Linked DNA regions of Diceros bicornis minor. The protein of the gene in region 2 interacts with the protein of the main gene of each other region in a biochemical or structural test. Links are inferred from orthologs where the notes say so. Each region holds a gene or a part of one and is shown on either strand. Other genes may lie near its edges.

Region 1 (7,931 bases), on a different chromosome or scaffold from region 2:
AAATAGTGTCAAGACAAATTTTTTCAAGTTTTCATTCATTTATGCAGCAGATATTTATTGAGATGGATGTGTTAGGTGTGATTCTAATGTGATCCAGTAGTGAAAAGACATACAACACCCATTTCTGCTGAATTTTATTGATTAAAGAAAGTTACAAGACCAAACCAAGTTTAAAAAGAGGAAATAAGACTTGATGGAAAAAGCAGAAAAGAATTTGTGGGCATATTTTATCCAACACAATTTATTTTGATATATTCTTGTTACTTTTAATGTTTTCCTTTTACATTCTCTAGAAAGAAGTTAATTCTCTGGCAACGAGTTGCTGAAAACTGAATGGCTCTAAACTGGCTGACTATACTATAGACAAGCTTCTATGTTTAATTAATGCCTTTTACTAACCTATGTAAGTTAATCAGGTCAAAACACAAGAAGACCAGCCTTTTTTGATGAAGAATATTCTTTGGAGATTACTTATGATCCCAAGGGGGAAATGTTAAGAAAAATTGTTCGAAACGGCTATTAAATCAATAGAATACCTGCATGTAATTTCAGTGTCAGACTGGGGCATTATTTGACAGGATTACCCAGGAATAATTTAACTTCCTAGAGTATGTACCTTTGTCTGCTATGCTATTTACTGTTGATTAAGGCTAAGAATCCGTGAAGTTACACGTTGACTTGTAGTTTCCCATTAGAGATGTAAATAATTTCTTCCCAGAAGAAAGGTAATCTCAAAGGTTGTAATTTTATTGCCCTGTTGGATATTAACCAGTTTTGTCCCTAAATTTGCAAACTTATTTCAGCATGCCTTTCTTAACAGACTATATCAAACTCTCTTCAAATGCTCCTTCAACCAGCTTTACCTTCCTGCCAATTCCCTCCTTGATTTAAATAAATGTTTGGCACATGCTCAATTGATATTTGTAATAAAGTCATGTTTCTAAGTTTAAAAATTATACTTTGACAATATAATGATAAAAGTGGAGGTGCAAAAAAGTTTCAGGACTTACTGATGGATTGCATGTGAGGATTGAGGGAAAGAGAAATATGAAATATAACTTGCAAATTTTCTCAGACTTTGAAACAGTCATTTGTGAAAATAACACCACAAAACCTAAAAATCTCCCAGGGTAATTTTTTTTTTTTTTTCTCTTTCAGTCATTTTTTATTTACAGTTTGTGTTCAATGCAAATCAATTCCATAACATGAGAAGTTACTATGAATCAAAGCATAAATACACAAACACAATATACAATCCAAAATAGATGTACAGCATTCAGATATGAAACAAAAGGGAATGTTCATTCACACACACAGTAGCTTGAGATCTGTTGGATATTGTTGTTCTGGTGTAGGTTTCTAAAGATGGAAAAAAAAATGACTGGTTATCAAGACTACTGTGGTCATATCACACACAGCAACATCTAAGCATCAGTGTGCGACCATGCGAACAAAAGACTTTAGGGAGTGTCTATTTTTAAAAAGGTTTTTGTGCATCGAGGCAGTTGTGAAAAGATTTACTTTCCAGAATCAAGCCCACTTTAGGCTTAGGACCAGGTTCTAACTCTCTAAAAATATTGACTGATAACAGAAAGTGTTCCAAATGTGGCTATTCTGATTCATAGTTTTTAAAAAAAGTATTTACAGAAAGAGTATAAAAGTTTTTCCGAATTTAATGAAAGTTAGCTTCCAGTCTTCACTTCTAAAATACTTGATTTACAGTTTCAGCTCCTTCACATATTTGCCTTTTTAATTTCAAGATTTGTCAATTTTACCTTCAAAACAGACCACTTTTTAAATTGTAAAAAGTATTCGACATAGGCTGAAATAGAAAGCATTTTGAAACTAGTTGAGGTCAATGCACTTCTATTTGGAATCAGTTCAGTTAAACGAATCTGGCGCTCTTGTTGAATATGGGTGATTAGTACATAAGCAAAATTTACTCATTATGCTTGGATTTAGGGTAGATTCCAATCCATCATTATTCTGGCACATGCCAATTACTACATAAAGTCAAATACAATGTCAAATCCAAAGTCTCAGAGGAAAAAAGAGTTCAGTTCTCAAGAGAACAGTGATAGCTTAACAATATAAAACTTTATCTAGAGTACATCGGCATTAAATTAGTACTGTTGAAACAATACATTGAGGATTTACAGTAACACCTGGAAGTTCCTTCTAATGAACACACAAATAGAATCATGGAAGCTTTTTATATTACCTGTTTTATGGCCTCATAGGTTTAAAGAACCAAATGAAAACTGAATCTCTGTTCCACATCCCATCCTTGATCTTTAGATAAGATAAAATCTATTCTTATTTTCAAGGTAGAGTTTTATGAGTCTATATTTCTTAAGCCACATTTCAGGAAATCATCTCTTAAAATTTTTGGAGGTTGTCTCTCTTCATCTTGTACGTGAAACTCCAGCAGATTTAATACTGGCATTCATCCTCTAGTCAAACCTTTCACATGCTCTTCAAGCCAATCAAATTTGGGATCCTCAACATTTTCTGGGTCAATAAAATGAGGTGTGGAATTAGCCGATTTGATGAAGACCTGTTTTTTCCCTTGCCACACTGGACATCTAGATGCCATTTGGATTGGGTTTAGAAGATGGAGAAGTACAGATGTTTCTTGGCCTGAGTCTCTTAACAGTAGAGACGTAGAAGGGAGAAGGAGATCACGAAGAGACTGGCTGTTGACTGCAGAGCACCGCTACCTGACTTGGCGGTGACACTAGTTGTATTTGGGGCAGCCGAGGTACTCTGGGAGAAGTTACTTGAAAGTGTGTTTACAGTAGTAGTGTTAGCTGAACAAATCTGCGCGGGTAGGAGCAGCACCAGAAGCAGCAGCCCCAGTCCGAGCCTGGCCACCATCGCTCTGCCCATGTCCGCTCCGTCGGTGCGCGGCACGTCTCGCTGAAGGCTGGGTGCGTGGAGAACCGCTGATTCGGGGCGGGCGCAGACAAGGTCTCCCAGGGTAATTTTTAAAGCTATGGATGAACTAATCTCGCCTGTTTTAGATCAGAAGCAAAGAGGTTCTGATTTGCCTCAAATATCATTCAGCAAGTATCACAGAAGCATTTAAAACATTATTTCAACTTTTTCTAAGAGAATATCCCTGGGAAAATTATCTTTTAGCCATGAAAAAGTTGGATAAAGTTTTTAATGGCAGGAAACACACTACTTGCATTTTGGCTAGGAAACAGAAAGAGTAAACTAAAGTCTATTTTTAAACTATATGTAGCATTACCTTGAGATTTTTATGTGCCCATAATCCAATCAGTAAAAGCCACTAAATCCAAAGATTATAATACTGAATAGTTGATTCACGTACTTTTATTTCTATCACTTTTCTGGAATCAGTTCTTATTTCCTAAGGAAAAAACTTTATTTGGATTAATAAGAAAGTTTCAACAGCAATTTATTCTCTTTAAAATGGAAGAAGATAAATAACTTTATTATCTATTATCATTTCTATTTAAAATTCTGCTTATGGCAAATAATACATGCTTATTGTATAGATATTTTAAAACATACATACGTATGAAGAAAAAATTAAAATTGCTCATATTCATAAAGCCAGAATAACCACAGTTAATTATTTCCTTTATGCCTCAAATATGCTTTGTCATGCTTGAATGCAATGCATGGATATTTTTCTTATTAAAATGTGTCTATAAGCTTTAGCTTTTGATATGTAACAAACCACTGAGGAACTCAGTGAACATTTATTTCTGGCGTATCTCAGAGTTCAGCGGCTTAAGGCTGGACAGCTCTGTTGACCTCATCTTAGCTCTCTCACTCTGCTAAGGTCAGCTGAAGGTCTTTGGATCTAGGGTGAGTTCAGCTGGGGTGATTTGCTCTGCTTCAGAGGGACCAGTAGGCTAGCCTGGGCATGCTCTTCTCACTGCCATGGCAGAGATGCAAGAGGGAGCAAGCAGAATTATTAAAGTTGTCTATAAGGTACAAAAGCTTCTCTGCTCTGGTCACTTCTTCAGGTCTTCATTCTCTTGTGAAGGCTGCCGTGTACATGTAACAATTTAATAAAATTTGTATGCTTTTCTCCTGTTAGTCTGCCTTATGTCAATTTAATTCTTAGGCCTAGCCAGAGACCCAAAGAAGGAAGAGCAGAGTTCTCTCCTCCCCTACAGATATGTATTACTGCTTTGCCCCTTCATTTATGCCAATAATATTTCCTTCAGAAAGTAGGAGTGAGCTTTTCAATATTTATTTTCTTTAAATACTTTCATAACTAGATATTATCATTTACTTTAATTTTTGTGTATTTGATAGAAGATAACTAGAATCTTGTTTAGATAGTAATTTCTTTGTTTTCTTATAAAATTTAACCTTTTCTGATATGTTTATTATCACACTGTATTTCTCCATTTGCATATTGGATCAATAAACCTAGGATTAGGCTAGGTTAGAAGTTGGCAAATTTTCAGCTAATTTTTAGCTGAAAATGTATCATATTTTCTCTTTGCCATCTTTTCCAATCTTTCATTTTATTCCCACGATATTCTTAATGGTTTGTAGAATTTTTTCCATGTTCATTTACATTACTTTCTAAATTTTTGCTTACTGTTCTTTTAACCAAACAGCTATTAATCAAATCCCCTCCATGCCTCAGCCATACTTATAAAAGTAATACAATAAATTAGTCATTTTTTCTTAGTTTTATACATTTATGTTTCATATATTGAAAGCCCATGTATTTGTCCTTCAGGGCTCCACTTTCATAACTATCATTAAATAATTATTAATGTCTATGTATATATGATATTTCCTATAGCCTAATAACATAGTGGAAAAGTGGACAAACATGAAAGAAGTTTTAAGGCAAATGAAGTAGAAATGGAAGAGAGATAGAGGTGAAATTTAAAGAGAAAAGTGAGATCGCAGTTATATATATTCATATAAAAATATGATGAAAGTAAGTCTGTTCGGACAAATGTTACAAATTGAGGAAATTAAGAAAAAAGAGAGGTAATAGACTAAAGTAGTTAAGAGCATGATCCCAAGTCAGAAGTATTTGTGACTGAATCCTGATTCTGTCACTTCCAGTGAGTGAACCTGGGCAAGTTATTTAATTTTTTGTGACTCAGTTTAAAGAGCTTTAAAATAGGGTTAATAGAATATCTGATAATTATTGCAAGATTTAAGTGAGAGAATAAATATGAAATATCTATCAGTGTGCTTGTTAAGATAATAAATACTCATTGTTAATAATAGTATTGTTATTAAGTGGGCTAATCACGATAACCTCTCTGGGTGAGAAGATATTTTTTTAGCACCATGCTCTAACCAACTGAGCTAACTGGCCTTTAGAGACGATATTTTTAAATTGTTAAACACAGAGTGTCCTGTCAGGAACTAAGGGGCTGTCGTCAGTTTCCTGTAGCATTTTAGGTTATTTACATTTGGTGTCACAGCAAATCTGTGCTTCTTAGCTTTGTTTGTCACATTACACCTAAAGCACACGTTTCTGTGGTTTACAACTGACTTATTGTTTATCATACAATCAGTTCCACACATATTAACTGGATTTGTGGTTCAGAACTTGACTGTGAACATTAACTAACTGACCATTACCCTTGAACTTTTCCCCATGCTTTAACACTTGTTAAAATATGCTACTGTATTTAAGCATTGAGGTTTTATATCCTGCTGCATGTATTTGAGCCTCTTCTAACCCTTCTGAAGTTTCCCTTCCAGAGAGAATTTGGTGCCTTCACTTATAAATCTATACCTTTCTTTTCTTTCTTTTTTTTTTTTTCTGAAGAAATGCCTAAACCTATGTATTTAACAATAAAATTAAAGTTTAGGGGCCAGCCCCATGGCCGAGTGGTTCAAGTTCCACACTCTGCTTCAGTGGCCCAGATTTGTGGGTTAGGATCTCACGCACGGACCTACTTCATTCATCAGCCGTGCTGTGGAGGTATCCCAAACACAAAATAGAGGAGGATTGGCACAGATGTTAGCTCAGGGTGAACCTTCCTCACACACAAAAAATTAAAGTTTAGATGCTTAAATATCTCCCCTAGTAGAACATTCAATTTTCTTCTCTATGCTTAAGACATTTGAAACGTAAGTAGTACAGAATAAAGTTTATGAACTAATAAGTCTTGTAATGAAATATATTAAAATAGTATCATTTTTCCATAAGAATATATAGCCTTGTGTAAATTGAAAAAGAGTAGATGCAATATTTTGTAGTGAATTTATTTAACTTTGCCTGAAGACATTGTTCAATAATTCTCAGGAAATAAAATGCTTTTAGCACAGTTAAGGTTCATTTGTATGTTTATGAAGTTGATGTTTCCAAGATCATTTGATTTTGCTGATCAAATCTATTTACTTGAAAAATAAAATTAAATCTGCTACAATGAGTGCTTTTGGATGACATAGATAATAAAATTGAAAGCATGTTATATTCTGTATGTCCATGATTGTGACTAAATTTAGATCCTAACTCATGCCTTAGAGCATGAATTTAGCATTCAAAACAACCATGAAGAGTTGAACAAAAATATTTACATCACTGAAATTCAGTAAGGAAGAGTACATAGTGTATACTTGGGCTTTCTATGCAGAACAAAGTCAAATTGAGTCTAAATTCATCAAGAAGTAAACCTTTATAGAACCAATGACTCATTCTTCTGATCTTCTCTATTTAGGGCCTGGTTATAATCATTATCTCAGCTGTGTTGATATCTGCTTGGAGGCCTCTAAGCTTCTGTGAGACGCTAAGAATTCCAGTAAGAAATGAACATCTTTAGAACTTGTAAGGTCTTTCCTGTAATCATCTAGCCACCAGCCTTTTCTGCAGCTGACAAATAACTTTTTTAAAGAACCTAATCCATGTTAGGTTCTGTGCTATAGACTTTAAGTATGTGTTATCATTTAACCCTTCCAAAAATTCTATGAATATGTAATATTAACCCTATATTAGAGATAAGGATAAGGAAGTTGCTCAAGGTCACCTAGCTAACAAGTTGCAGAGCCATACTATTTTTCTCCAAAACCTGTGGTCTTCACGTTTGAACTGAAGATGAACTTCATAAGAAGTGGGACAGTTTTACACCATTAGTCACATTTGTAGCAGGGAAATCTATTGTCAGTTACTAGGCAATTCCAAATGTTCACAACAGCTGGGGCAATATGTCTAGAAATTCCCAGAGATCTTCTATTAGAATGGCATTTTTGTTAAAAATAAAAAGTTTGCATAATAAACAAATACAAAGGTATAAATATATCTTGTTTGGCCTGGAGGAAGTATTTATACTAACATTCTATAATATACCTATATTCTTTCTTAAAGATTATTAATTTTTAAGAGCTAAAGAATTTATCAAAAATTTGAATATCATTAACTCTAAGAAGAAAAAAAGGATACTTCATAAACAATGTCATACATTTATACATATCCTCACCCTCTTCTCCAGACCATTAAATTAAGTAACCATAAAAGAATCAAATGTCTTTTCTTTTTTTGTTGTTGTTTTGTTTTGTTTTGTTTATTGCAGTAACATTGGTTTATAACATTGTATAAATTTCAGAGTCAAATGTCTTTTCTTCTCTCCTGTTATCTTATCCAGATTTTGTTTCCACCAATAGCACACTGATGATAGAAATTTCAAATTCCAAGTGTAAAGCTGTTCTCTACAAGTCAAGATTTTTGGAAAAATTCAAAATATGACAATAAAAAAATAATATATGTTTGAAATAAGAAATACAACTTTTCAAGAAATTTGAACTTTGTTTTCCATCAGAATCCTTGAGGGAACTCACAAAAGCAGAAGTCCTGGCCCCACCTGCAAAGATTCTGAAATAGTCACCAGCAAATCTATATTTTAGTAAGTTCCCCTAGTAATCCTGATTCATAACAAAATTGGAGATCCACTGTTTTAAAAGTTAAATCTGAA
Region 2 (8,230 bases):
AGGAGCCTTCCCTATCACCAATCCCCTCCTCCCCATACCATGTTAGGTGCTCCTTTGTTATTGCCTGTGTTCTTTCCCATTATTATTTCAATAACTATTGATTTATTAAGTGCCTACAATGTGTCAGGCACTGTTCCAGGCACTCACATTAAAATGATAAAAACAGATATAGTTTCCATCTTCACGGAATGTACATTCTATTGAGGGAGACAGACAATGAAACCAACACCAGTAAATACACAACACTATGGAACAAGTAAATGTGAAAAATAGAAGATAATGATAAGTGCTAGGTAGAGAATTCAAACAGGGTGATGTGATAGAGTGACTGGGTGGTTATGTAAGACAGGGAGGTCAGGGCAGACCTCTCAAGGAGGTAACATTTAAGCTATGAGCAGAATGACCGGAAGAAACCAGGCAGCAAGAAGCAGGAGGAAGAGTGTTAAAGACACAAGAAAAAGCTGATGCAAAGGCTTTAGGGTGGAAGTGAAGTGTGGAGAGTCCAAAGAACATGAAGATATCAGCGTGGGCTGAATGGAGTGAGCAGGGGGAAGGAGAGTATGGATGAAGATCTGGTGACAGATCCCGCCGGGCTTTGGGAGCCAAAACAAGGGGAGGAGATATTCTAAGTGCAACGAGAAGGGCAGGGGAAATTTTAAGAGAGGTAGTGATGTAATCTGATTGATGTTGAAAATTGGGAGGTCCTAGAGTTTAATTGAAAAGATACGTTGAGGCCAGATCTTGTGGGTCTGAAATGACAGTCAGCAGAAGGGATTCAATTTCCAGGGTTCTGAACAGAGAAGCATGCTGAACAGGTGCATCTAACAATGGTGTGTTTGATGAATTAGAAGCAAAGATACTGAGCTGTGAAAAGAGGAGGCTACTGTAATAGTCCCAGTGGGAGTTATAGAGAGCCTGGCTTGGGCTGAGGTCAATGGGAATGCAAAGGGGGTAGGTAGATGTGAGGGTCACTGAGGAAGCAGAAATACACAACTTGTTAGTGGCAAAGTATAGATTTTACAAGTCGTTATGACTGACAATTTCCCTTAAGTTTCTGGGTGGTGGTGGTGGTATAGCTACAGATATTGGTGCAGCCCCTGCTTAAAGGTAAAAAATGAAACACAGTGAAAAAAGAGATCTCTAATCAAACAGCAAATTAGAAATAAAGGCAAGAAGGAGCCCAGGACAGCAACTCTAAGAATCAAAGCATATATGTAAAGTAGACTACTGATTGCCAATATTCAGAGTGAAATATTAGCACTAAAAATAAAGTAGCATACCTAAATTTTTTAAGTCTTTTCGACCATGGCAGAGCAATATTCTTACAAATATAAAGGATTAGTTTTGTATTTAACTTTATAAAATTTCTGTTTTGCTTTTTGATCAGAGATGTTAGAAACCTAGAAGACAACGTAATGAATGTCCTTTGTGAAACCAGCGTGTGCCTACTCTCTAGGCTTAGGTCCAGGGTCTTTTCTCAGTGCTATCTATTGTGTCGTAAGTCATTTTGATTTTTGAGGATTTTGATTAACAATAAGCTTCCACTTACAGAATTCTGAAGTTGCGCATTCTAAGAGCTGTCGTTTCCCCTTCCAGAGCGGGAAGAGTGGGAATCATCTAGATGCATTTTGAAAAACAGGTAATGGAAGGAAGAGTAAGAACTAGAAGCCACAGACCTAAGATGGCTAAAAGGCAGAAACGGAAGAGAACCCAGACCTGCTCCTTCGCCCTCTTGCCAAATATTGGCATAATTTAACTGTAAATTCCCAATCAAGAGCTCCCCCTCTGAGAGCTACCTGATTGAAAACACCCCACCAGATAAACTTGAACCTCTTTCCTCAGGTCCTAGAGGTCAATTGAAGTCACTCTCTGAACTTGAAGCCAAATTATACACAGAGTTTGAGGTTCCTGAACCCCCAAAGTTAAATGTGTTCAAGGGAAAAAGAGGGGGTCTTGTCTTTGGAATATTTAAAATAATTTCAGGGCTGGAGTCCCTAGCACTTCAAGGGAGTTCCAGTCTAATTTCAGGATGCCAATTGAGGAGCTTCTGAGCACAAAGCATAGGAGGCAAGAGCGCAGTTCTTAACCTGGGACCCACGTGAGGTCTGGGAACCCCCTGCGGTTGTCCACAAAGCTTGGTGTTTATGTGGATGTTAGTGTTTTCATATGGGAACAGGAGTTGAACCTTTCACCAGAATCTCAAAGGACTCTATGATCCAATATGTTAACACACCTCTGAAATAAAGGAGGATCCCAAAGAGAGGAGAAGGAAGAGGGGAATAACTGCTCATTCATTTAAGTTAACCAATTCAGAAGTATGATATGCAAAAGAGAAGACAAAAGTCAGCTACATTCTTACGTCATTGGGGTTCAGACTTACGACAGACTGAAACCCCTTCCTCTTCTCTTCATCGCCCTCTCATCCCTATTCTCCCCGACACAGAACATCCTCATTACAGGTGTTTGAAAAGTGTACCACAGTAAAGCAAGAGGTGGGATAAATCAAATGTAAGTGCTACTTTCTTCTGGAATCCCATAGAAAGGGGCTCAAAAACGGAGACAGTCTGGTTCCTCTCTAGCTACAGGCTGCAGGATTTTGGACACCGGAACTGTATGAGATACTCCTGGTAAGCTGGGGGTAAAACTGTGTTTGTCTTATCTAGGATAATGTTAATGAGTTCAAGAATGCCTTTTTCCTTGGATCTTCCCTGGATCCCAAACTCCAGTAAACCCCAAGAGTTTTCTCTTTCTCATAACAAGAATAGCTTGCATTTATTAATCAGTTACTATGTGCCAGCCTCAGATTGAAGTACCTTTCAGTGTAATCTTATTTAATCCTCACAATGACACTACAAAGTAAAATACTATTATTATCTCCATTTTACAGATGAGGAAACTGAGTCACTAATAGGATTGAGACTTAGGGCAGAAATGGGAACCATGTGGCTGCTGCACAGCAGTCTCAGCAAACTCGTAGGGCTCAGAGAAAGAAACAGGAGCGTGGGGGATGAGAAACCATTCAACTGTAGCCTTGACCCAGGGCACTTGCTCAGCCTTGCATTCAACCCAGAGAGCAGAGCGGTCCTGAAGAAGAGGGTCGAGGGTTTACCAAGATCTGCTCCAAAAGCCCTGATAGGAAAAACAGCAACTGTGGAGCCAGAGGACAGGAGTCCGGGTTCAGACAACAGCGAATGCAGCCTTAGGTAAAGCACCCAGCCTCTGTGAGGCACGGCGGCTTCTTCTGTAAAATGGAAATAACGACCTCCACTCACAGGGATGTGGGGAGGGTCAAAGTGGACAGCAGGTTTTGAAATGTATACTCCAAAGGGCTGTTCAACACAAAGCTCCATAACTGTTGCTATTTCTCACTTTCTGAACATTTACCTGCCTGATTCACCCACAAATCACTTCAGCTCATCCATTTCCCATAGGAAAGAGAAATGAACTTACCATCTCCTCTGCGACTCCGCTGGCTTTCTGCTGTCTGCCCAACCCAGACTTCTTATAGTTTCGCTGCCTCCCGTCAGTGTCAGGCTGTTTAGAAAAGCAACTTCCTATTCACTTTCCAGAAATTCACCATAGCCCTTCCCACGCGGTTAGAACGTTGATAATACAGGAGCAATGCTGGCAGCATAGAAACAGCAGTCACCGAGGGGGCAGGAGTCGCCCTCTTCCATGGAGGATGGTCTGGAGCAGGGACAAGTGTGAGTCACTCCTGGACGTTGAGGCTGAGCTGCGCAGGAACAGCCCCCACACCCCCAGGGGTCAGGTTTCCTTTGATTATGATGTGAACCCCAATGTAAGGTCATGTATTTGGAAAACACACTTTGTCTTAATCATAACGTCCTAGTGTAAATTTTCCAGTTATTGGGAAATCTCAGTGAATATTTACTATTCCAGCAGGCTTCTGAAGGAAAGGAGCAAAAATAGTAACAAAAAGTAATTAGGTAGGAAAGGAAAAAGCCACTGAGGGTTTTCTGGCAATTGGGGGTGATTGTTGGAAACAATTTTGAAGTGAAATATAAAACAGACATGGGTCTTTATTAGAAAGGAACTTCTGTTCCTTCTATCATAAAGATGGGACGGTTAGTGTGTGGGAGTAAAAGGCTGTGTGGCACTGACTTGGGCTTAGATTAAACTGCCTGAGACCCATCTTGGCTCCACGCATGGCTCTCCACTAGGCAAATTACTTGAACTCTCTATGCCTCTGTTTTTTCAACTAAACAGAATGATAATAACACAACTTACCTTACAGGGTTGTTGTGCGATCAAAGGAGTTAATATATGGAGAGTGCTTGAAACAATATCTGGCGCACAGTTGGCACTCGACAAATGTAAGCTACTATTATTACTTTTCAGATTTCAGACAGCAAAATCAAGTATCAAGTATTTAGTGTGAAGTCAGAAAACCACAACTCCAGTTTATCCTCTTGGAATTCTCGTTGTGTGGTGGTGGGTGTTATTTTTCATTCACTCCATGATTGTTACAGCTTGTAAGTAGGCATCTCGTGGATAGATTAAAAACAGAATAAATTGGAAAGATCTAGAAGGATGTCCAAAGGTAAAGATGGTTTAAGAAGCTTGGCACTGCATTTGCCCTTAGGAATTTGGGACCAAGAGGAAGGGATTAATTACAAAGTAGAAATAGAAAGCCTGGTGAAGGAGGTGGTGATGGAAGAATGATAGGAGGGGAACAAGGGATGTAGAGAAAGAGGAGAGAATGGGGAGCTGGGAGGCAGCATGATGCCGTGGTTCCCGCCCAGCCCTGGAGCCAGACTGCCTGGCTCCACCACCTCCCAGCTGTGTGACCTGGGCAAGTGACTACCCTCCTTGTGACTTAGTTCCCTCAGCTATATTAATCAGTAAAGATAATGGTCACCAAGCATCACCACGTAGAAGTGTTAAGACAATTAAGAGGGTTTACATGTGAAGTGCTTAGAACAATGGCTGGCACACTGTAATTTCACGGTAAGTTTAGCTTTTATTTTTATAAGACTTACCTCCACTGCCTTCTGTTCTTATTTCACTCTCCAGTACCTCTTTTTGGCATTGCCTCAGCTTTTTTTTTTTTTTAATTTCTCGGGGAAATTTAGGTCTGAGAGAAGGTGCTATGTAGACTATAGGCTCTTATTAATAATGTGTTTTAAGTTGGATAATGCTAAATTTTAGGGAATACGAGGGAAGTAGAAAAGTATTCCTAGGAATAGAAATGGGAGGAAAATACCATTTGACTTTCTTTAAAAGCTGTTCAGGCTGAATAGCATTTGCTCATATGGATATAGTCTATGTAGAAAATTTAGGTTGTTTCTAATTATCCGGCCATTAAAAATATCATATAATTCCAATATAGTTTAATTAGTAGTGTTATTTATCTGTCTCATATATGTTTTCTCATCTCTTCATATTGTAATCTAAATTCCTAGAAGGCAGGGACCTTTTCTTATATTAGTCTTGCTTCTCCTTGAGTATCTAGCTGAAGGCAAATATACACTTAACAAATACTTGTTGATTCATTAGTTAGATTGACAACTCTGGGATTAGATAGACACAATGAAAGTGCCCCCTCCCATCTTCCTCTCTGGATTCTATTTATCTTAGTACAGCAGTGCATTTATATACGCAAGAAACATTTAAGTCCCTTCTGGGCTCCCAGCAGTGTGTTAGCAGTGTGTTAGCAAAACTCTCACGGAGCTCATGGTTGCTGTCTTTTTTGGGGGGCAGGTAGGGGAGGCATTAGATATTAAATAAAAGTCACACAAATAAATGCAGGGGGAAGAACGTGTGGTTCAATGAAAGGGTATGATGGGAACTTGACCTGAGGAAGGTTCCCTGGGGAGAGCGACTTTAGAGCTGAGGTCTTCATTTGAATAAGGAGTACAGACTTCCACTTATAAAATAAATGAGTCACAAGGATGTAATGTACAGAATAAGGAATACAGTCAATAATATTGTAATAACTTTGTATGGTGACATAGTTACTAGTCTTGCCGTGGTGATCATTTTGTAATGTAGGTAAGTGTCGAATCACTATGTTGTATACCTGAAACTAATATAAAACTGTATGTCAACTATACTTCAGTAAAAAAAAAATTTTGAGTAAGCGTGACCACACTGGGTGAGGGATCATTCTAGGCCAGTCAAGGCTCAGAGCAGCCTGGGAGCCTCAGACAGTCTCAGTGGCTGCAGGGCCCTAAAGGAGGCTGGACCCAGACCACGCCGGGTCTTCAGGCCATGTTAGGGCTGTGTCTTCATGTACACTGTCTGTTGTGGGGTCGTAGAGAAGACAGTTAATTCCTCAGGGAAGTGCCGGCTGCACAGGTGGTCCCTCTACTTAGAGAAGACTAGAGAACTTTCTACATAAAGGCTGTAGGATGACAAGTCAGAATTTAAAAAAGAGAACATATAGCTTTTTTTCCTTATCATTTAATATAATACATGTTCATTGTTAAAAAAAGAAAAAAAGAAAAAGAAAATTCAGAAAAGCACACAGAAGGGAAAAAATCACCCGTAATACTGTCTCCAAGGGAACCGTTAGCACGTTGTGCATTCAGGTACATTCAATACAATGCTTTCCATTTGATAGTATATCATAAACCTTCCTGACATTTTAAAATATATTTCTGCTCTAGTTACAACTAAAAAAACTCCCAAGTGTCTGTCCCTCCCCTGATGGCTGACACTGTCATGGACAAAGATGTCAGCTCTCCCTGTATAATTTTAAGAAAATATCTTACACAAGTTTCGTGATATCTTACACATACTCTTCCTGCTGAAATTCTGTGGAAATTGGTCTGTGGTATTCCACTCAAGTGTTTCTTTTCTCTATCTTTGCTCTCCAGTTTTTGAAAGGGAAGGAAAGGCAAAGAAACAAATCATCTTGGCAAAGGTCTCAGACAATCAGACAATAAACATGAACTTTCACAAAACTGTCCACTCACGTATCCTTAAATAGAAATCGAATTCTCAAGACACACTCCACGTTACCATGTTTATGCCCACTTAGCCCCATCCAGGAGTTCATTCATTCATCTACACATTTTTGTGAGGACCTGTTCTGTGCTATCATCTAAGCTATGCTCTGGAGACACAGAAATGAATAAACACAGTCCCTGGCCTGAAGGAGCTCAAGGCCAGGGGAGAGCCAGACATAGAAACAGACAGTTACGAACAATATGGAGGAGGGAGTATATACACACATTCTTGTGCGAGCCCCACAAGAGGACGGCTACCTCAGTCTGATCATGCAGTGGAGAGGTGGTCAGAAAGGGTGCTCAGAGGAGATGACCTCAGCTCGGTGGAATAAGTCAGATTCTTTTGTGCAAGCTCAGTGGTTGGACAGGCACATACGGATAATACTCTAAACTCAGCAGATGAATTAGGAAGTGGTTTTTCACATTAAAAGTATTTTTACTCTTCCAAAAGCATATTGTGTCTAGGGCCCTTTGATTACCAGAAAGCTATGATAACCACAGAAAGGTTATCACATACAGCAGAACACTAGAAACACAATTAAGTGGGTGATCTATTTATAAATGAATACCATGAATAGACTATTTCAAAGTCACTGAGGAAGTGAAGGAGAGATATTACGATTATGAGCTACCATTACTGAGCACTTATTCTTGGGCCGGACCATATGCTAAGCATTTTAATAGCTATCTCTCATTTAATCCTTGCAACAACTTTATGAGGTAGATTCTATCTGCATAGCTGGTCCGTCTACTCAGAGATTATTATGATACACGTTTTATTAAAAAGGAAACTGAGGCTTGCAGGGTTAAATGCCTTGCTCTAGATGACAGAGCTGATAATGGAAAAAATGGGATTCAAATTCAAGTCCAGCTGAAACAATACTACGCTAAAATCTGGAGTTTTTTCCATTAAACTCATTAAAAAGTGCTTTCTGGAAAGAGAAGAAGAGGTCCTTCTAACCCTGTTCTCTTTGTTTTCTGTGGGTATTTTATGCTCAAAAGCTCTGGTAATTAAAGATGAATCAAGAGTGAAACTAAATCAACCTACTTCTCATATCCCTGTCAGGACATGGTTGTCACATCTCAGGGCAAGGTCTTCTGTCACTGAGTCTGCTGGGTTAAAATCGCCTTGATCACAAAGGGAAGTTTTGGTCAGTTTGCTGGGGAACGTATGTTTTGTCTGGAAATGTGAGGCAAACATGAAAATGCCCCAATTCAGAGGAAAAAAGAAAAGGTTGAGGGGGGAAGTATTAAACGCT

The links. The genes of interacting proteins can lie anywhere in the genome.
Region 1: the proteins of SELP (region 2) and CD24 form a complex in vitro, tested with the Homo sapiens proteins (2 studies listed by BioGRID and IntAct). The link is inferred for Diceros bicornis minor from reciprocal best matches to the Homo sapiens genes SELP and CD24.

Annotation. Positions count from the first base shown.
Region 1 is NC_080749.1:66,398,653-66,406,583, reverse strand, and holds CD24 (signal transducer CD24), read right to left. Parts: upstream 2,967-7,931; 5' UTR 2,890-2,966; coding exon 2,650-2,889; 3' UTR 1,290-2,649; downstream 1-1,289.
Region 2 is NC_080743.1:96,116,715-96,124,944, reverse strand, and holds the start of SELP (P-selectin), read right to left. Parts: upstream 3,549-8,230; 5' UTR 3,454-3,548; coding exon 3,451-3,453; intron 1-3,450. UniProt on the Homo sapiens protein: Ca(2+)-dependent receptor for myeloid cells that binds to carbohydrates on neutrophils and monocytes. Mediates the interaction of activated endothelial cells or platelets with leukocytes. The ligand recognized is sialyl-Lewis X.